Linked DNA regions of Lonchura striata. The protein of the gene in region 3 binds, or shares a complex with, the protein of the main gene of each other region. Links are inferred from orthologs where the notes say so. Each region holds a gene or a part of one and is shown on either strand. Other genes may lie near its edges.

Region 1 (7,483 bases), on a different chromosome or scaffold from region 3:
TCTATGGATATTCAGGATATTTATATGAAATTCTGATATATTTATACGAACTTTTGGGATATCTCAGCCATTTCCATGGATATTTGGGATATTTCCATGGATCCCCTTCCACTCCTCCCTTCTCCAACCCAACCAGTTCCACTCCCCACAACCTCCCCCCCACCAAAAACGCTCCAGCCCCCCAAAACCATCCCCATCCCCCCTTTTTTAACCCCCCTGATGTCCACTCACTCCTCCTTGATCTTCCTGCTGATGATGTTGGGGGCAAAGGTTTTCTGTGGGCAGAGAGGAAAAAAAAATCACCCCAAAATCCACCCTGGGCTTTGTCACCACCCCAAACCCTGGCTGGGGATGGGGAGTGACCCCAATTTTGGGGGGAAAAGGGGGGTCTCACCTTTTTGACGCCGCCCAGGGTGAGGTCGCGGGAGCGGATGGAGGGCAGGCGGCCGGGGCCGAGTTGGGGGGCGGCGCTGGGGCGCCGGCCCAGCACCCCCCGGAGCCCCGGGCGGGCGCTGCCCGGCGAGCCCGAGCTGCCAGAGCCACCCTCGGCCATCCTGCGGGCAGGGCGAGGGTTCAGGGCTGGGGGCTGCACCCCGAAATGGGCTCGGTTCTGCTCAAATCCCAGGAATGAACCCCGAAATGGGCTCGGTTTGTGACAGACCCCGAAATGGGCTCGGTTTGTGACAGACCCCAAACTGGGCTTGGTTTGTGACAGACCCCAAAGTGGGCTCGGTTTGTGACAGACCCCGAAATGGGCTCGGTTTGTGACAGACCCCAAAATGGGCTTGGTTTGTGACAGACCCCAAAGTGGGCTCGGTTTTTAACAGACCCCGAAATGGGCTCGGTTTGTGACAGACCCCAAACAGGGCTCAGTTCTACACAAATCCCAATAACCAACCCCAAAATGGGCTCGGTTTGGCTCAAATCCCAGTAACAGACCCCAAACTGGGCTCAGTTCTACCCAAATGCCAATAATGGATCCTAAATTGGGCTCAGTCCTACATAAACCCCAGTAACAGACCCCAAACAGGGCTCAGTTCTACACAAATCCCAATAACCAACCCCAAAGTGGGCTCAGTTCTGCTCAAATCCCAGTAATGAACCCCAAAATGGGCTCGGTTTGTAACAGACCCCAAACTGGGCTCGGTTTGTGACAGACCCCAAACTGGGCTCGGTTCTGCTCAAATCCCAGGAACGGAACCCAAACTGGGCTCAGTCCCACATAAACCCCAATAATGGACCTCAAACTGGGCTCAGTTCTACACAAATCTCAATAATGAACCCCAAACTGGGCTTGGTTCTGCTCAGATTCCAGGAACGGAACCCAAACTGGGCTCAGCCCTACATAAAACCCAATAATGAACCCCAAATATGGCTCAGTTCTGCTCAAATCCCAATAATGAACCCCAAACTGGGCTCCGTTCTGCACAAACCCCAATAATGGATCCTAAATTGGGCTCAGTTCTGCTCAAACCCCAATAACCAACCCCAAACTGGGCTCAGTTCTATACAAACCTCAATAATGAACCCCAAACTGGGCTCAATTCTACATAAACCCCAGTAACAGACCCCAAACAGGGCTCAGTTCTACACAAATCCCAATAACCAACCCCAAAGTGGGCTCAGTTCTACATAAACCCCAGTAACAGACCCCAAACAGGGCTCAGTTCTACACAAATCCCAATAACCAACCCCAAAGTGGGCTCAGTTCTGCTCAAATCCCAATAATGAACCCCGAAATGGGCTCAGTCCTATGCAAACCCCACAAATGACCCCCCTGCACCCCCAAATAGGGTCCACGTGTAGCCCCCTCCCCAGGGGTCTCAGCACCCCACACACCACACACACACCCCTTATCCCCCATACACCCCAAACAGGACCCAAACAGGACCCCTTATCCCCCCCCACACCCCAAACAGGACCCCTTGCACCTCTTACACCCCAAACAGGACCCCTTGTCCCCTCCCCAGGGGTCTCAGCCGCCCATATACCCCAAAAAGGACCTCTTGTCCCCCACACACCCCAAACAGGACCCCTTGCACCCCATACACCACAAACAGGACCCCTTGTCCCCCTCCCTGGGGGTCTCAGCCCCCCATAAACCCCAAACAGGACCCCTTGTCCCCCACACACCCCAAACAGGACCCAAACAGGACCCCCTTGCACCCCACACACCCCAAACAGGACCCAAACAGGACCCCTTGTCCCCCATACACCCCAAAAAGGACCCAAACAGGACCCCTTGTCCCCCTCACACCCCAAACAGGACCCAAACAGGAGCCCCTGTCCCCTATAGACCCCAAACAGGACCCCTTGTCCCCATCACACCCCAAACAGGACCCAAACAGGAGCCCCTGTCCCCTATAGACCCCAAACAGGACCCCTTGCACCCCTTACACACCGAACAGGACCCCTTATCCCCCACACACCCCAAACAGGACCCCTTGTCCCCATCACACCCCAAACAGGACCCAAACAGGACCCCCTGTCCCCTATAGACCCCAAACAGGACCCCTTGCACCCCTTACACCCCGAACAGAACCCCTTATCCCCCACACACCCCAAACAGGACCCAAACAGGACCCTTTGCACCCCTTACACCCCAAACAGGACCCCTTGTCCCCTATACACCCCAAACAGGACCCCTGTTCCCCCCTCCCCGGGGCTCCCAGCCCCCCCGTTCCCCCCAGCACCCCCTCACGCCCCTCCCCGGGGGTTCGGACCCCCATGAGCCACCCCCGGCCCCCCAAAACCCCAAAACCCCCTGGCAGCGCCCCCCGCCCCTCACGGGCCTCACCCCCCTGCGCCCCCTGCCCCCTCCGCGTCCCCCTCTCCCCGCCATTCCCACCCCCTCGCGCACCCCCAAAGCGGACCCACCCTCCCCCCGCCCCCCAGGGGGACCCCTCCGTGCTCGCTGCCCCTCCTCGCACCCCTCAGGACCCCCGGGACCCCCCAAAATCCTCCCCCGGCCCCGCCACGCCGCCCCTCACCCTGCCCGGGCAGCCACGGGCTCGCCGCCCCCACTGCGCATGCGTCACTCACGCCGCGCTCTTCCTGAGGCGACGCTGCCGCCGCCATCTTTGCTGAGGGCACGGCGGGTTTGGCAACGAGCTGCCATCTTTGTGGTTGGCAATGCCCGAGCCGGTGTGAAGGCGGCGGCGCCATCTTTGTGACGGGCAGCGCCCTGCTCTCCAAATGGGCAGCGGGGGCAGCGCTGTGGGGGGACATTTTTGGGGGGTCACTCAGCCTTTCATTTAACACCCTCACGGGATTCCTGCAGTGCGACCACCCCCTCAGGGTCCTCTGCAGCCCCACAGCCGGCACCCCCACAGAGGGGGTTCATGCGTGAGCACCCCCTCGCAGAAATTTGGGGGGCAATGAGGATTTTGGGGTGTTCTCCCACCCTCCCACCCGAAAAAAAGCTTTTCCCCTGCAAGAAGGGTGTTTACTACGTGCAAAACAAAAAGTCTGTCCGTCCGTCCGCCCCCCGTGGGCTCTGCACCCCATTCTCGCGGGGGTCCTGTGTGGGTACCAGCATTCCCACGCTCCTCATCCATCCCATTTTTGGGGCCGGGAGGGGGTGTCCCCATTGTCCCGCAAGCGGCACAACCGGGACAACCCCTCCCCCCCCGACCCCAAAAATGGGGGGGGGGAACAGGCAGAACCTGCCCACCACCCACCCCCAATCTGCACCCACATCCCACTCTGCCTCCATCACCTGACGCCGCACGCATCCCTCCATGCCATTGGCAGAACCGGGAGGTTTTTCCTTCCTCCCCCTTCTCTCCCAGCTCCTTGGATATCTATTTTTCCCCCATTTTTTTATTTAATTTTTTTTTTTCCCTCTCCTCTCCCTCCTCTGGAGGGTGTTTGCTATTTCCGAGCTGGCTGGGAGGATCCCAGTCGCATCAGCCGCAGGCAGCGACGCGGCACCGCCGGGTACCACCTCGATCCCTCCGGCATCCTCCGTCCTTCCCGCTTGGATCAGCCCCGCCGGGGCTCTCTGTCCTGCCCTGCCGCTCCACCGGCACCCCCGCTCCTCCCGGCAGCCCCCCGCCACGGCCAGGTAAGGCCCTCACCGGCACCGCTGCCACCGGAGCGGCCGCCGAACCCCGCTGGCAGCGGGGCGACATCCCGCTGGCACCGCCGAGGGATGCTCGGAGGGCAGGGGGGGACACGGGGGGCGCTGAGGGCTGGCAGGGGACACGAGGCACCGGGGACACGGTGACACGGTCCAGCTGGCACGATCCCGGTGCAGAATTCCTGCGCCACCGCCGGCCACGGGAGCGGGGCAGCGAGGTGGCACCGTGTCCCCAGAGCGGTGACCTTCTGCCGTGCCCAAGGGCTTTGGCGTGGGGGGGTGACAGCGGTTTTGGGGTGCAGGGGGCTGCGCAGATGGGGGGGACACGTGGCCGTGGGTGGCCGTGGGTGCCGAGTGACGGGGACACGCACGGCTGAGCCCGGCGTGGGTGGCCGTGGGCACACGGAGGGGGTGGGTGGGGGGGTGGTGGCACCTTGGCAGCCCCGCGGTGCCACCGCTGCCCCCGCACAAACCCGGGCTGAAGATTTGGGGGGGTCGGGTCACGCTTCGCTTCCAGCCTCCCGTCCCCGTGCCGCGAATGTGACTCCGTGTCCCCCCTCCACGAGCATCGCCCACCCCCCCCACCTCCCCCGCCCCCAAAAAGCGCCTTCCTGGTGGGTGCAGGGAAACTGAGGCACGGGCCGGGGCAAAGGCGGATCCAGCTTTTCCAGTGCCTGCGTCCAACCCTCCCCTCTCGCAGCAACTCCCTCGGCTCTCCCCTTGTTTTTCTTTCCCCACCCGGTGTTGAGCAAACCCCGAAACGCCCGCTGGCGTCGCGCCGGGGCCCCGCGGCACCCGGGGGAGCGGCCGGGGCCCCCGCACCCGACCGGGCTTGTTGCCGGCGTCCCGCCGCCTGCTCCTGCCTGCGCTGCCTATTCCTGGCTCCCGGCCGCTTTTCCAGCCCGCTGCCATCTGCTCCGCCGCGGGCGGCCTTGGCAGAGGCGGCGTGGGCAGCGAGAGGGGGCTCGGCACCCGCCAGACCCCCGCGCTGTGCCCGCAGGAGCTCAGCCCCTCCGGCCATGGAGCTGCTGTCCACCCCCAAAAACATCGAGATCAACAACATCACCTGCGATTCCTTCCGCATCTCCTGGGCTATGGAGAAGGGGGACCTGGAGAGGGTCACCCACTACTTCATCGACCTCAACAAGAAGGAGAACAAGAATTCCAACAAGTTCAAGCACCGGGTGAGCCGGGCGAGGACGCGGGACCCCCTGCCCGGGGAGAGGAGACGCGGTTGGGAGGGAGGAACTGGCTCTCAGCCCTCTCTAGTGCCGAATTTGGGTCATTCCCCTCACGGGACACGCCGGCGGAGGAGGCTGGGATGGGGATCGGGGGGTGACGGACCGCGCGGAGCCCCCGCGGAGGAGCGGAGCCGCTCCTGCTCCCCCTCCCCGTGCTGCGAGTCACTAATTCGGGCCGTTTTTAGCAGCGCCGTTGCCACGGTGATGCTATTTAATGTTTAACATTGTTTTTTTTTTTTTTCCTCTCCTCCCCAATAATAAGGGGTGGGGGGGTGGGGGGGTGGGATATTTTTTTCCCCTCTATCTCCCGACTTCAGCATCCGCCGTTGCCACAGAAACGGCTCTGCACTGCGGAGCTGCTCCGTGGCCTATTGACACCGCGAGATGCCACCGGGAGCGGGGGCACCCCGAGACCACCCCCACCCGCTCCCCGAGACCACCCCCACCTCGGGGACCCCCTGTCCCCATCACGGCAGGGAGCGGGGGCACCCCGAGACCACCCCCACCCCCTCCCCGAGACCACCCCCACCTCGGGGACCCCGTGTCCCCATCGCCACCGGGAGCGGGGGCACCCCAAGACCACCCCCACCCCCTCCCCGAGACCACCCCCACCTCGGGGACCCCCTGTCCCCATCACGGCAGGGAGCGGGGGCACCCCGAGACCACCCCCACCCGCTCCCCGAGACCACCCCCACCTCGGGGACCCCCTGTCCCCATCGCCACCGGGATCAGGGGCACCCCGAGACCACCCCCACCTCGGGGACCCCCTGTCCCCATCACGGCAGGGAGCGGGGGCACCCCAAGACCACCCCCACCCCCTCCCCGAGACCACCCCCACCTCGGGGACCCCGTGTCCCCATCGCCACCGGGATCAGGGGCACCCCAAGACCACCCCCACCCCCTCCCCGAGACCACCCCCACCCCCTCCCCGAGACCACCCCCACCTCGGGGACCCTGTGTCCCCATTGCAGCAGGGAGTGGGGACACCCCGAGACCACCCCCACCCGCACCCCGAGACCACCCCCACCTGCACCCCGAGACCACCCCCACCCGCACCCCGAGACCACCCCCACCCGCACCCCGAGACCACCCCCACCTGCACCCCGAGACCACCCCCACCTGCACCCCGAGACCACCCCCAGCTCGGGGACCCCGTGTCCCCATCGCAGAAGGGAGCTCACCACGGTGTTTTTGGGGGGTCTCCGTGGATATTTTGGAGTGACTCCGTGGATATTTTGGGAGGGTCTCCGTGGATATTTTGGGGGGATATCCATGGATATTTTGAGGGGGTCTCCGTGGATATTTTGGGGCGGTCTCCGTGGATATCTGGGGGGGAATCCGTCGATATTTTGGGGGGGGTATCCATGGATTTTTTGGGGAGATATCCGTGGATATTTGGGGGGACTCCGTGGATATTTTGGGAGGGACTCCGTGGATATTTAGGGGGATATCCGTGGATATTTTGGGGGGTCTCCGTAGATATTTTTGGGGGGTCTCTGTGGATGTTTTGGGGGTGCGGTACCCGGCAGCGTCCCCGCGGAGCGGGGTGGCGGTGCGGGCGGTGGGCTGCTGTCCCGCCTGACCGTCGCCGCTCGGAACAGGATGTCCCCACCAAGCTGGTGGCCAAGGCGGTGCCGCTGCCCATGACGGTGCGGGGCCACTGGTTCCTGAGCCCCCGCACCGAGTACAGCGTGGCCGTGCAGACGGCGGTCAAGCAGAGCGACGGCGAGTACCTGGTGTCCGGCTGGAGCGAGACCGTGGAGTTCTGCACCGGGGGTGAGCGGGACCGAGCCGGGAGCGACTCTGGGGGCGTCCCCGGGAGCCCGGAGGGAGGATGGGGGCGATCCCAGGAGGAGGATGGGGGCGATCCCAGGAGGAGAATGGGGGCGATCCCAGGAGGAGGATGGGGGCGATGCTGGAAGCCGGGAGGGAGGACGGGATTGATGCTCCTGGAGTCGGGAACTGGGCCGGGGGATGGGGACGGTCCCGGGAGCTGGGAGGAGGATGGAGGTGATGCTGGGAGCCGGGAGGATGAGGAGGACAGGGGAAAAGCCCAGAGCTGGGAGTCAGGAGGGAGGATGGGGTTGATGGGCTGGGAGATGGAAGAGAGAAGAGGGAAGAGGGCAACGCCTGGAGCTGAGAGGGAGGACGGGGATGGTGC
Region 2 (5,311 bases), on a different chromosome or scaffold from region 3:
GCCTGTTGGAGGGAGTGTCCATGGAGATTAAATGTTACAATTTGTGCTCCATCATGTTTTTATTAAGTTATTTATCGTTTTTACTTCTGAAAACTGAGAATAAAGCTTGATGTTAAAACACAAGTAATATGTGATCCTACTTGAAGCACATTCTCCTTTTATCAGTAACTGGTTGCAGTGTGTAGTTTGTAGTTCCTGCTTTAACTGACAGGATTTTCACAGGTCACAGCCAAGCCCCTTTTTTTTATTTTTGGTTCTCTGTAAGGGCACAGTGGTTACACTTCCCCTCTGCTTTACCTGCTGTGCTGTGCTCGGGGCTGAGGCGTGGGGGGTTTCCTCACCGTGCTTCAGCTCGGCTACCTTCACACCTGTCTGTTCAAACACGGGTTTCTCGGTGTGACCGTATCACCCTGCCCCGTGTGCGTTGGGGGCACAGCACCGTGCTGGAGCCTGTTCGCCCTCCCTGTCCGGCCCAAAGCAACCACGCAGCAGCCGCTCGCTCGCCCGCAGCGCTGTTTATTGCGGGAGCAGCAGCGATTCTAAACCCGCTCCCCCGGCCCTCAGTCCCGCCAGCGGTGCCCGCACTGCGGGTTGCAGCACTTGTAGAAGGTGGTCATGGGCTCGTCGGCCGAGCGCGTCTGGATCTGCATGAAGTAGGCGCGGGGGTGCTCGCACTTGGGGCACGGCTCTGCGGGAAAGCGCCGTGAGGGGCCGTGAGGGGCGGCGGGGCCCAGCCAGCCCCGCGCCGCCCCTCGGCCCGGCCCTACCTGCCGTGGAGTCCACGTTCTCCCAGGCCGCGGCGCCGCCCAGCACATCGTCCACCTCCTTCAGCCGCGGGTACTTCCTGCTGGTCACCTGCGGGACGGGCACGGGAGCGGCTCAGCCCGGGCCCCGCGCCCCGCGCCCCGAGCACGGCGGCCCCCGCCCCGCGCCGCCCCGCCGCGGTACCTTCCGCGTCACGTTGCGCACGTAGGGACAGGTGGTGCAGGCGAAGCGGTGGCAGCGCGGCCCCTCCTCGGCCACCAGCACGTTCCCGCAGGCCGGGCAGAAGAGCAGCATCGCGGGTTCCGCCGCGCCGCCCGCCCCTTCCGGCGATGGCGGCCGCGGGGCCGGCGGAGGAGCCGGCGGAGGAGCTGGCGCACGCCGAGGTGCTGGAGCTGTTCCAGGCGGCGCTGGCGCGGCTGGTGCAGGACCCGCTGCTCTGCGACCTCCCCCCGCAGGTGCGCCCGGGGCGCGGGGCCGGGCCGGCGCGGCTGGGCTGGGCTCACGGCCGCGTCCCTCGCCCGCAGGTGACGGCGGAGGAGATCGGCTCGCAGGTGGCCCTGGAGTACGGGCAGGCCATGACGGTGCGGGTGTGCAAGGCGGACGGCGAGACCGTGCGTGCGTGCGGGGCCGGGCGGGGCGGGCGGGGCCGGCGGGGCGCGCCTGACGCGGCTCTCCCGCCCGCAGCCGTGGTGGTGGTGCAGAACGCCTCGGTGCTGGAGCTGAAGAAGGCGCTGCGGCGGCACATCCAGCTGAGGCAGGCCCGGCAGGGCGGTGTCCAGCACCTCAGCTGGTGAGCGGGGCCGGGCGGGCGGCTCGGGAGCGCGCCCCAGCCCGGCGCCGCTCCCGCGGCTGCCCCTGAGCGCTTTTCCCGCAGGAGGTACATCTGGAGGACGTACCACCTCACGTACAATGGAGAGAAGCTGGCGGATGACAGGAAGAAGCTGAGAGAGTGAGTTACGAGTCAGCGCTGGGGGTGAGGGGCCCACGCAGCGTCCCCACGGGCAGGGCTGAGCTGGGAGGTTGTGCCCTGGATCACGGGTCCTGTAGTGGACATTGCCAGGAAAGGTGGGACAGCACTGACCACAGAAGCGGGACAGGAAGACTGAGAGGCTCTCTGCAGGACAGGCTGGCCCTGGGGGGTTCCTCATCCTCAGCCAGCACCATCCTGTGCTGGTTCAGCCAGTGCAGGGCACCCCACAGAACCCTTGGCCATCCCTCCCAAGCTCCTGCAGATGGTTACAGTTACTCAGCTCGGCACAGATATTGATGTAGGACAGGAAAGAGCAGGGAACAGGAACAGGGAGGCTGTGGATGCCCCAGCCTTGGCAGTGGTCAAGGCCAGGTTAGATAAGGCTTTGAGGAACCTGGCCTAGTGAGAGGTGTCCTGTCCATGGCAGGGATGTTGACACTGGATGCTCTGTAAGGTCCACTCCAACCCTGTAACATTCTGTGATTCTATGATGAATGCCAAGCAAAGAGGAAACCCAAGGATGGGTGTTGATCTTTGGGGCTGCTCAGCCACCTCTCAGACACTCTGGTAACAACGCTGACAGGTGATTCCCATGTTTCCCTGCCCATTCTTGAGGCGAGGTAGAATAAGGCACTTCCCTGCAGTGCTGGGTCTGCCAGCCTGTTGCAGACCAGCGAGAAAAGGTGGTCTGAAGTACTAAAAATTCAGCAAGACAGCCCTAATCAAAGCTGTCCTTGGAAGAGTGAGCCTGGGTGACAGATGTTGCATTTAAGGGGTCGTTGCACTTAAAGGCAGATGAGCAGATCCTTCAGTGCTGGCAGCACATCCCACATACACAAGTGAGAATTTTAATGTGTCCTCTAGTAGAGCACAACATGGGATTGTAGGAGTCCCTATGTCCCTGGGAAAGATGAAGCTATAGGGTTTTACAGGTTGTTTTTCCTGGGAAGCTGGCATTAACAGCATAACTCTGTGTTCAGGTATGGCATCAGGAACCGGGATGAGGTCAGCTTCATAAAGAAGCTTCGGAAGTAACCTGTGGGGTGAGTCCCAGACGTCCATTAAGAGCTCCCAGTTCCTCATCTTCCCCAGGCCATGGTGTTGAGGCTCAGAGCTGATGCTGCTGCTCTCTGCTGGCTGGCAGAGTATTTCTGAATGCCTGCACTGGGCTGGTGCCTGTTTCCAGATCCTGGTAATGTTGTTTGTGCTATTCTCAGGGCAGGGAATGATAATTCAGCTATTTCAGGTAACATAAACTGGGAGCAGCAGCAGGAATAGCTGACTTTATGTTTAGATTCTCAATCTGCTTCTACATTGTCTTGAGACTCATTAAACACAGTGTTCTTTTGCTGCTGTGATTGCTTCTAGGACCTTGCTTTCTTTTAGGCTTTTTAAATGTCTGGAAATCATTGTCAGGAGCATGGCTGGGTTTCTAACTCATGCAGACATAATTCTGGTATTAATACTGCTATTTTGAGAAAGCTGTGCACACAAACACAAGATGTGGCCAAGACTCTCAGGCTTACTAAGTTTTAAATTACGCTTTTAGAAACAGTCACAGTGGCTGAAGAACGAGTAAGAGCAGCTTGTCCAAAGCCTTGTGTTGTTTTGCTGCTCCAGGCAGCTGGGTTAAAAACTGTTCCTTTTTGACCGCAGTTACCTTTTATTCTTCTTTCAACACTGCCATATTTTCAAGATCCAGTGTAATAAAATGTGCGCCCTAACAACAGCCACCTGCTCCAGGGTGCTTGTGACCAGCAGTCACCTCTGGCACTGGCTGGTCTCTCCTGGGCCATCATGGCAGCGTGGTGAGAAAAGATCAGCATGCAATAATTATTGTCACTGACAAATATTTTCTTTCTTAAACAGAGAGAGCAGAGAATCCAGCCCTACCAAGACCAGACTGTGGATTAAGCACCTTCCTGGAGGAAAAGGCTGTCACACTTCAAAGAGGAACAAACTCCATTGACTGGACATTCTCACGTTTTTTACAGTTGCTCTTTGTGGTGTTTGCCTCTGAGCTGTATGTGGGTTGCAGGGATTAAAGAGATCCTCTAGTTTTCTGAGGTTTTTCAGGCCCTTATTTCCAGCTGCAGATGTGTATCTGGCTGGTTTGGGTGCTCCACAGGGTACATAAAACAGCAGGAGTGAGATTAAGTAACAAAGGTAGGCACAGACTACTCAGAACAATTCACAGTAGCTAAAACGCTACCTCACTGTTTAATCACCACCTCAGCAGTAGTAAACAACTCTGGTTAAAAATGTAGTATTGAAACTAGTGTAATAAAAATAATGGCAGCAGAAAAGGTTCAATACAATTGAACAAGGCACAAATGTTCTGTTTTTCAGAGTCTTCTGAGATAAGGCAAACCATGCCTGCCAAGTGCTAAGGAGACAGTTTAAATTAACCACGGGCAGGGTTAGAAGTGTCATTGGATTAGAGGCTTTGTCCCCATGGAACTGGCACAGCAAATGCAAAGACAGTCCATCTCCAGGGCCTGCTCGAGAAGCCAGTCTTTGCTGTCAGTGGAGCTGTGCATCCAGGTCGTATTTCTCGCAGAATTTGTCTGTGAAGGGTATACAAGTGAGGAACTCGCACCACTCGCACTTGATGGGGTAGAAATAGAACAGAATCACCAGTCCTGAGAAGAGTGCGATGAAGATGAGCTGGAAAACTATAATTTGGCATCGTTTCCTATATAAATCAAACTTCCCAAAGCTAATGTAGGGCAGGAAGGCAAAGGAGAGGAAGAAACCACTGATAAATCCTGAAATGTGAGCGAAATTATCGATCCAAGGCAGGAGGCCAAAGGCAAAAAGAAAGAGCACCACAGCCAGCAGCTTGAAGAAAGCCCTCCATGGGCGTGCCAGGATTTGCCAACTCTGGAAGAGCTCCACAAAGAGACAGGCCAGAATTCCAAATTGGGATCCTGCAGGGCCAACCTGCAGAAGAAGAGCATTACAGATAATGTCAGGCTCATGCCACGTTCCTGGCCTCTGCAGCCAGCTCCAGGAATTAGTTGCTTCTTACTCAAATCCTGTTCAGTGGTTCTTGGCAAAGAGACTCTCCAACTTCATCCATATAATGGGGTGCTGGGAGTAAAGGGATCAAGGTGTGGATTTAGGATCAAGGTGTGAGGCCAGAACAGACTAAGGAGGGCAGATCTGGTTCAAGCTGCCAGAGGGGAGTAGCCCTTGAAGGCAATCTCCTGGCTTGCCCCACCCACCCTGTAGTTTTCCTTAGGAGCTGGAAGGCTCCTGCAGGTCCAGCCATGCAGTCTCCTGTGGGCAGGGTGAGGTCTGCTCTTTGCCACTCTCAGGCGGAGGCTGCTGACACCACACTTGATTCCGAGCCTGCCTGGGGCCCCTCTCACCCCGTGGCTGGACAGTCCCCCATCTGTTATGAGAAGCAGCCTTCTTCCTGCAGCCAGCCAGGCCAGCCACTTGCAAAGCCCCTGGTACCCCGGGATGTTGCTGCTCAGCAGCTGAATGATGGTGTGCTGCCATCCTTGAGCTGCAGTGCCAAGGCTGCAGTGGTGAGCCCAGCTCTGCTCGCTCTGCCTCAGCCACAGAGGC
Region 3 (7,816 bases):
TATACGGGGTGGAGACTCCAAAATGAGTTATCTCCCCTTTAGTTTTAACCAATCTTCTTCCACCAATAAGAGACAAAATGAGAGAAGATAGAAAGGGGAAAAAATACTAAATAAAAGCTAACGGCCTCTGCAGTTCCTGAACTTCCATGAACAACAATTGGGGGGGGGAGAGGGACAAAACCAAACTTGGATAATTTTATTTAAAACAATTTTTGGCCAAAAGGCTCCTATGCTGCCAAAAAAGCTGGAAAAAACTTCCGGCAAGTTGCAGATCTGCCCCCTCCTGGACAAACAAACGACAGGTGCTGGAAAATCGTGGAGAGACGACCTGACTCCTCCTCGGCTGGAAAAGGTATTGCAAAATTCCCTCTGGAGCAGCTTCTCGGGTATCGACTTGGAGCTCCGCCCCAGGCAATCCCCTCGGGCACCCAGGAAGAACAAACGCACTCCCCCCATGATTTCCCGTTTCTAAAGGGATCCTGCACCTCCCTTCCAGGATAAAACACACAAGTTCCTCTTTCCTGGGTTGTTTGTCTTAGGGACAGTAATACTCTTGGGCAGGCTGGCACACAGAAGATAAGGAGTACACAATTTTGGGTTATCTAGGATAGGCTGTCATTGGACCTCAGGGATAAAAGGCTTCCCTCCTTGCCCAGGGTGGAAAAGTACCCATCATTAAATACAACACTATTCCACCTACTGTGACAAAAATAATAGTCCAGCAGAGATTTGCCAATCTAGCTGCAATAATGGCCAACCCTTATGGAAAACCTAAGCCTTGCTTGGCACCTGTTTACAAAACAAATGGCGGGTGACTTTGGCACGTACCTTACTCTGCAGAAACTTAAAACACTGTTGGTTTAACACCTCCACAAACTCAGACTCGAAGTCCTGGTCACTGTACCAGGCCCCCCCAGTGACGGAGCGATCGGGCTGCAGGTTATACAGCATATAGACCTTCTTCTTGGATGCCTGTGGGAGGGAGATGTGCAGCTCTCAACAATTCCTTCCTTCATAAGGAAGGACTTGTATCCAGATAATCTGCAAAAGAGGTTTATTACTCTTATACCTAAGGCACAGCAAGCCACCTGACTCCAGGTATCCTGAACCTGTTTGTCCCTCAGGTAACACAGAGATAAAGAGAAGATCAACTCATTTTGATTCCTAATCATTTTAAAACATAGTGTTGGAAGACTAGATGAACCCAGCATTTTCACATGAACACAAAAAAGCCACTGCTTTGCTATGTCCAACTTCTCCACCCACACCTGCTTTACCAGACCCAGTGAGAACCACGTAAGTGAAGACAGCAGAGAAGCTGACCTGTGGAGCCAGTATCTGCTGCACCTCAAACCTGCACACTAAAGGTACAGAGTCAAACACTGGTGCACAGCCAAAGAGAAAGCTGGAGGTAAAATGAGGTTTCTCTGTCCCCAGGCCCCTGTTACAAGCATACAAAACATGAAGCAGATGTTTGAAATTGTTACAAAGAGAGTCACAAAATACTCACTGCCACAGATTTAACTGCTTTAATTAGTTTCTTGCTTTCCAAGTTTTTCAGTATCTTGTTGATCTCTGTTAAAGGCAGATTGCTTTTGTACCTAATGTCCCTGCTCCAAATACCTGTTAAAAAACAGAGAAGTGAACAAAAATAAATAGAAGAAACCATTTGTTTCCACATATACCAACCAAAAGTCACATCAGAACACTGCTTGGGTTGCTTGTCTGCCACTCCCAGCAAAAGGGAAGAAATGGAAGAGATTAGGAAACAAGCAGGTATGGGGCATTAGATTTTATATTTGTATTGTCTGAGCAAGCATTTGTGACTTTGGACAGAAATGGTCCCATAAGCAAACAAAGTTAGTACCATTCACAATCATAATTTAAAGTACCTTTGTTGCCTGCGTCCTCTATGATTTGGTAAACCAGCTTCTCTTGATTGTCAGAACCTTTCATCTTACTGTAAAACAAGACAGACACCAGGATTTTTGAAAGGTCCAAAATTTGAAAGAAGTTTGATTTGTTTAAAACAATAATTGAAGTTTCATTTGTTTTAAACAGGAATTGTGTTCCAAACATACTTACCCAGCAGACACAGACTTACCTTGCATTTTGGGAATCTTTGATTCTGTACAGGAGACCTGCACTGCTCCTCAGAAGGTCCAGCTGCCCCTAGGAGAGATGGGCACAATGCATTTACTTTCCTTCAAACAGCTTGTTTCAGAGGGTATTTTAGAAAAATATTCTGAAATTCTAGAGCAAAACCATTGTTTAATGTCAACTAAATAAAGAAAAATAAAAACTAATGTTTCTAACCACTGGAAACAGTAACAGCCTTGAGGATATTTTTTTCCCCTGACAAATTTCCACTTATCATCAGCTATCAGAAATAACAAACAGTTCCTGACCCTCCCCATCCCTAATGGGCCTGTGGTTATGTGTGTGCTGAGGAAGATGAGGAAGGCGGGCTGTCCCTACCATGGAGAGCAGCCTGTTGATGGCCACAGCTCTCTGCTGGGCTTCCATGTGAGGCATGTCATTCTGGATCACCTGGTCCGTGATGCCATGGGGGAACTGGTGGCAGAGTTCAATGATCCTGCAGGAGGAGAGAAGCGACTTTAAAAGCCATGTTCTGCTGCATCCAAACCGTACTGGAGTCAGGATGGAAGAGGGTGACAAGAGCAACTCCGGGGAAAAGTATCCATCAATTACTTCTTGAGGGAGCTCGGCACCAATCCCTGTGCACCGTTTCCCTTTCCAAGACCAGAAAAACTCCGGGACAGCCGAAAGTGACCTGACCCAACCCTCACTGCCCCCTAAGCACCTCCCAGCACGAAGCTCCCCGTGCCCCTAACAACCCTCTCCTCCAGCATCCATTTCCTGGTTAACACTCGAGCGTCGAACCACCCCACAAAGGTCCTGAACGACAACGCCCCGCCACGCCTGCTTCCCCCAGCCCCAAAACCCGTCCTCTGCGGCCTTCACACAGCCACCAGCACCTGCTCTCGATGTCCATGGGATCGGGCACCTCCGGCTTCACCTTCACCTCCGCCATGGCACCGCGGGCTCCGGCGCGCCGAGATGACGTCAGCGCCGCGCCACGGCGGCGGCGGCGTCCCTGGAAACGGAGCGGCGGGCGAGCAGGGCCGCACGCCGGCGGTGGAGCGGGCAGAGCTGTGAGGCCGCGCCCTGGAGCGGCGGGGAGCGGGCGGGGTGGCGGTGCGTCCCGCCAGGGATGCGATCCCAAAAGGCTGGAGCGGAGCCTGGGTGTGCCAAGGGCGTGAGGGGAAGGCTGAACGCCCGCTCGGGTCGGGGAGAGCTGATCGCCCGTGCTTGGTGGTGTGTGTCAGGGGATGGACCAGGCTCTGCTCCGGGGTGCCCGAAAATGAGACAGGAGGCGACAGGGAGAATCTGGGACACGGGAAGTGCCGCACTTGCACGGGAAAGGTTCACCCTCGCCCTGTAAAGGTGGAACAGATTGCCCAAAGAGGGTGGGGAGTGTCCCTCACTCCTGCATTGATGAGTAGCATCAGAGCTGTTTCTGGAGCCCTGGAGGTGGTGACAAAACCAAATCCTTGTAGCACAGACGTGTTTCCTGGCCCTGAGTATCAATTCCCAAGATCTGGAGTACATATCTTTGTTTTGTAAAATGTCATTGTATCCAAATGCAATTTTTCACTCTTGAATTACATGCCATGATAATGACTATGTATATCAGGATAAATCAGGTTTTCATGGATATATTCTGGATCCACATGATATCTGGCATAAGCTTAAGAAACAGCTGTTTTTCTTTAGTCCTTTCCAGGGCATGCTGTACTCAGGTGGCCATAGTGGGACGAGGCTGGTTTCACATATGACATGGTGAGGGTGGAGATTCCTGTCCCTTACTCCTTCCATGTATCACTGACATGAGGTGCTGGAGCTGTTCTAGCTCAAACACACAGAATCACAGTCACAGGATGGTTTAAAGAATCCAGTTTTCTCTCTTTTAAGAGAAACAAATGAAGACCAGGAGTCATGCTAAATGACTGTTTCTCAGTGCATTCTTCTTTTTAGTTAAATGATTGTCTGCCTTTTTACTTTTCTATTTTAAAGATCACTGCTGAGAAAAATGACAGCTGGCTCTGTCTCAGCTCCTCAGATCATCCCACTTCGAATCCCACCTCCAGGGAAAGCTCAACGGGAAATAGACACAAATACTCTCATAGAAATAAAATCAGGTATGCACAAGAGCTTTAACTCCACCTCAAACCTGTACTTATGTGTCCATTTGAAATATTTGGCATTTATACTTTTTTCATATTTAGTCATGATTTTTGTAGCATGCATTTCATTAAGGAACTTAAAAAGTTAACTAACAGGTTTGATGCACCAGATACACTTGCATGTAATTTTATTTATCGCAACAACATTACTGACATATGTGTAGCAGTCTTAATTGCTTCCAAGGCCAAACTTTTAAGCTGTTGCATTTGGCTTTGACGGCAAAAACAGTTCTTGAAAGAATCATGTGCCAGGCTCACTCCCAACATTGTCGTTACAGTTTTTGAATTATCACCTTTTGCTGTGGCAGAAAATACCCTTTCTGTTGTTGGAATGGACAAGCTGCTGCAATGTTTGTGTGCAAAATCGTTTTACAGATACTTTTCTGTCAGAAATATTGCTTATAATGAAATTGCTTTTGTTGAATAACTGATATTTCATGGAAGAAACAGTTTTGATCCCAAATATTTGGTCTCTTATGGAACTACTTTATTTTCTTTATGTGAGCAAAATCAAGCACTGTAGTGAGTAATTTGTTTTTCCAAGGTTGCCTACAGTCTGAGGAATTACTTTTTCTGTTTCTTTCAGATACACCTGAGGCCTCTATTTATTACACTTTAGATGGAAGCAAACCAGAACTCATTAGGAAACCTGGCTATGGACCACATAACACTTTGGAGTATAAGGGTCCTATCATATTACCAGTGGGGAAAATAATAGTTAAAGCCCTGGCAGTTACAAAGTGAGTATCCTGTTTTGGTTTATTTTTGGCAAGGGACAGACATCCCTGTCACAGCTTGTGTTGTCTAAAGCGTTCCATACCCTGCAAGTGAGAGATTAGCCTTTCCCCAGGCAGTTTGCAAACTCGTGAATAGCACTGAGTTGGCTTTCTCAGGATAATTTTTATCCATCAAGTGTTTGTGTGATTGGATAACCTCTTGGGTGTTTTCTCCTGGACTCAGAGTGTCCAGTGATCCTGGAGGCTGTGGGTGAGGAGGTGATGTACTGAGAGCTCATCCTTTGGAGTGTGACCATCAGAAACACCAGAGAAACCAGGCTGGTGTTTCTGGGGTCATCCAGTGGTTCAGTGGATTTATAGAAGCTGGTTTTCCCAGGAATTTGTTTAGCTTCTCCCAAAGGATCACAGAATGCCGAACCTCACAGCTTAAGTATACAACGTTGGTTGAAGCAAAAATACAATACACGAAAAGAAAACTGGATTTTGCTGCACTGCCACTGACTTTGTCAGAAATAACTTCATGCTTAGAGACAGAGAAAGGACACATCATTTCTCTGTCTGTACTGTATTGCATTATCTTTTATTTCCAAGGGAGCAGGAACTTCCACTCCACTTGGAGATTTGTGTCTGCTGTTCCCTGTTAGCAGCACCTGCAGTCAGCCTGTGCTTGTGGCTGCACTGCAATACAACAACATTATATAACACTCAAAACCTAGGCTTATATTTATTTTCTTGCCATCACTGCCTAGACTAACACTTATTTGCAGTCTGTTTATATTAAGACATTTTCATAGATTCACTATAATGATATAAATAAAAGCTTGGAAGGGATGTTCCACCTAATAAGCCACATCCATCAGTGATTTTCATGTTGCAGCATACAGGTCTGTGTTGGATTCTTAGCTGTGGGAATATTGATTTTCAGGGACTACAGGGAGAGTTCAATTGTGACAAAGGTGTTTGTGGTAGAGTACCAGCAACCAAACATCCTTTTCCCGGTTGAAGATGATGACAAGAATTTCCTAAAAGATATAGCCACACAGGTAAGTTTTGGAAATTGTAACCCCTTGTGTGATTGTAAAATGTTGTATATATGATATTACTTAGAGATTAAGCTTTGACTGCCAGTTTTATTCACATATATAATTTTCTCTGTTTGCCCATCTTTGCTGCTTTGGTCCTTTCTGTAATATTAAAATTAAGCTTTTCGCATGCTTGCATTGAAAATAAATACCTTAAACATGTACTTTTAAAATTTTAACAAATAACTATAGCAGGAGAGGATGAGAGCAAAAGCAAAAAAATGTATTTGTAATTCAAATGGAATTACATTTTAGAATAAGGAAGGTGGAACATTTACTACAAAACCTAAGAAGAATAGACTGAATGTGGAAATCAAGCCTGCCTGGGATGAAACATCCCAAGACCTTCAAGGTAAGTATCACTTCATAAAACTGAGATAGTCTTCTATTCTAGCAGAAAGTTGCAAAGAGTTTCCCTCTTGTTTTGCTTGTAAAATGTGGGTAATTTTAAAATCCTCTCAGAAGACAGAGCATCCTGTGGAAATTCCAGTTTTGATTGCTCAACACTGCAAATAGAGAACAGAATTTACTTTGCATACATTTCACATGACTTCTTAAAAACATATTAAAACATCAATCATTTCTCAGCAACACACCAAAGCCCTGTCTGTATTTCCCTTTGTGCCAGAAGATGCTGTTAAATTGATGGGATTGCAAATCCTTTACAGAGTTTCTTTACTGATGTTTGCTTGCAGCAAGATTCCAAAATAAATACACTGAGCAGAAATGAAAGCTTCACCCAGATTTTCTCTGTAGATAAAGTCTCTTATTCCTTGGCAACAGCAATGGGACTGTTTTAGAGCAGGTAACTGTATTAATGTTTACTCATTAGTTTACTCTTAGGAGCTGGGATTTTTCTTCCTTCATGCAGGAAGGAAGAAAACTGTAAATAAATTAAAATACAAAAGTAAGCTCTGTCAGAGAAGTGTGGGGGTTCTCCTAGTTTAATTTCCTGTGATTCTATGCAGCTTATTTGAACCCAAAATGTGCATGCCAAATATGTTTTTGATTATGCTTAGTGAGAGTATGTAACATTCCTGTTTAGATATCTATTAACTGCATGAAGTGGGTGACAGTGGAATAACAGGATTGTAATTTTAATCTTGGAAACAGACAGGCCTTCTCACAGGTCCCCTCAAGGACCTCAGCTCCTTGCCAGTGGTTTGGGAGCTGCAAAGCACAGAGAGAAATCCACTTCAGCACAACCAGTGGAGTCATTGCAGGTGAGCAGAGGGCTAGGCGAAAGTTGTGCAAGGCTGTCATCAGGACAGAGGTCTAAAAAAAGGAGGTGAAGATTGGTGATCTCTCTCAGCTAGTAATGACTTTGCCTGGATTCTACAGTCCTGATTTAAATGCATTGGTAGTGATCCACTAGAATGGGAATGCCCAAAGCAGGACACAGTTGTCAATATGGACAAAACCAGGCAAAGGAAATCAACACTGACTGCATTCCTATTAATTCTTTCCTAATGCATTCCTGAATCTGCAGTTAGCAAATACTTAGTGCTGTTTGTTGGCAAGTTAATATTGAAAACTCAATATTCAGTAATGTTGTGGTGGAAGTACATAGCAAGGCATTGATTTATTTTTATTAGAAGAAGCTATGTAGCTAATGGGGGAATCAAGGATAATAAGTACTCCTCAAAGTAGTGCATTTCAGTGCAACTTATTTCAAATTACATCTGTAGATGATTTTTATATTTCTATATGCATTTTGGAAATATTTCCT

Evidence for each region. The genes of interacting proteins can lie anywhere in the genome.
Region 1: POLR3F (region 3) and POLR3D share a complex: the UniProt entries of both Homo sapiens proteins name them as parts of the RNA polymerase III complex. The link is inferred for Lonchura striata from reciprocal best matches to the Homo sapiens genes POLR3F and POLR3D.
Region 2: POLR3F (region 3) and POLR3K share a complex: the UniProt entries of both Homo sapiens proteins name them as parts of the RNA polymerase III complex. The link is inferred for Lonchura striata from reciprocal best matches to the Homo sapiens genes POLR3F and POLR3K.

Annotation. Positions count from the first base shown.
Region 1 is NC_134634.1:3,550,333-3,557,815, forward strand, and holds the start of POLR3D (DNA-directed RNA polymerase III subunit RPC4), read right to left. Parts: upstream 3,001-7,483; 5' UTR 2,991-3,000; intron 555-2,990; 5' UTR 554-554; coding exon 395-553; intron 276-394; coding exon 232-275; intron 1-231. Other genes in the region: PHYHIP (phytanoyl-CoA hydroxylase-interacting protein), read left to right, coding at 5,101-5,265, 6,924-7,098. UniProt on the Homo sapiens protein: DNA-dependent RNA polymerase catalyzes the transcription of DNA into RNA using the four ribonucleoside triphosphates as substrates.
Region 2 is NC_134618.1:4,521,895-4,527,205, reverse strand, and holds POLR3K (DNA-directed RNA polymerase III subunit RPC10), read right to left. Parts: upstream 1,083-5,311; 5' UTR 1,060-1,082; coding exon 949-1,059; intron 856-948; coding exon 768-855; intron 689-767; coding exon 561-688; 3' UTR 501-560; downstream 1-500. Other genes in the region: SNRNP25 (U11/U12 small nuclear ribonucleoprotein 25 kDa protein), read left to right, coding at 1,095-1,220, 1,290-1,380, 1,450-1,555, 1,640-1,714, 2,716-2,770; RHBDF1 (inactive rhomboid protein 1), read right to left, coding at 4,259-4,678. UniProt on the Homo sapiens protein: Core component of RNA polymerase III (Pol III) which synthesizes small non-coding RNAs using the four ribonucleoside triphosphates as substrates. Can mediate Pol I proofreading of the nascent RNA transcript.
Region 3 is NC_134605.1:22,422,033-22,429,848, forward strand, and holds the start of POLR3F (DNA-directed RNA polymerase III subunit RPC6), read right to left. Parts: upstream 3,078-7,816; 5' UTR 3,056-3,077; coding exon 3,000-3,055; intron 2,597-2,999; coding exon 2,479-2,596; intron 2,173-2,478; coding exon 2,105-2,172; intron 1,961-2,104; coding exon 1,893-1,960; intron 1,624-1,892; coding exon 1,511-1,623; intron 973-1,510; coding exon 829-972; intron 1-828. Other genes in the region: DZANK1 (double zinc ribbon and ankyrin repeat-containing protein 1), read left to right, coding at 4,115-4,223, 4,855-5,008, 5,931-6,048, 6,343-6,439, 7,201-7,310. UniProt on the Homo sapiens protein: DNA-dependent RNA polymerase catalyzes the transcription of DNA into RNA using the four ribonucleoside triphosphates as substrates.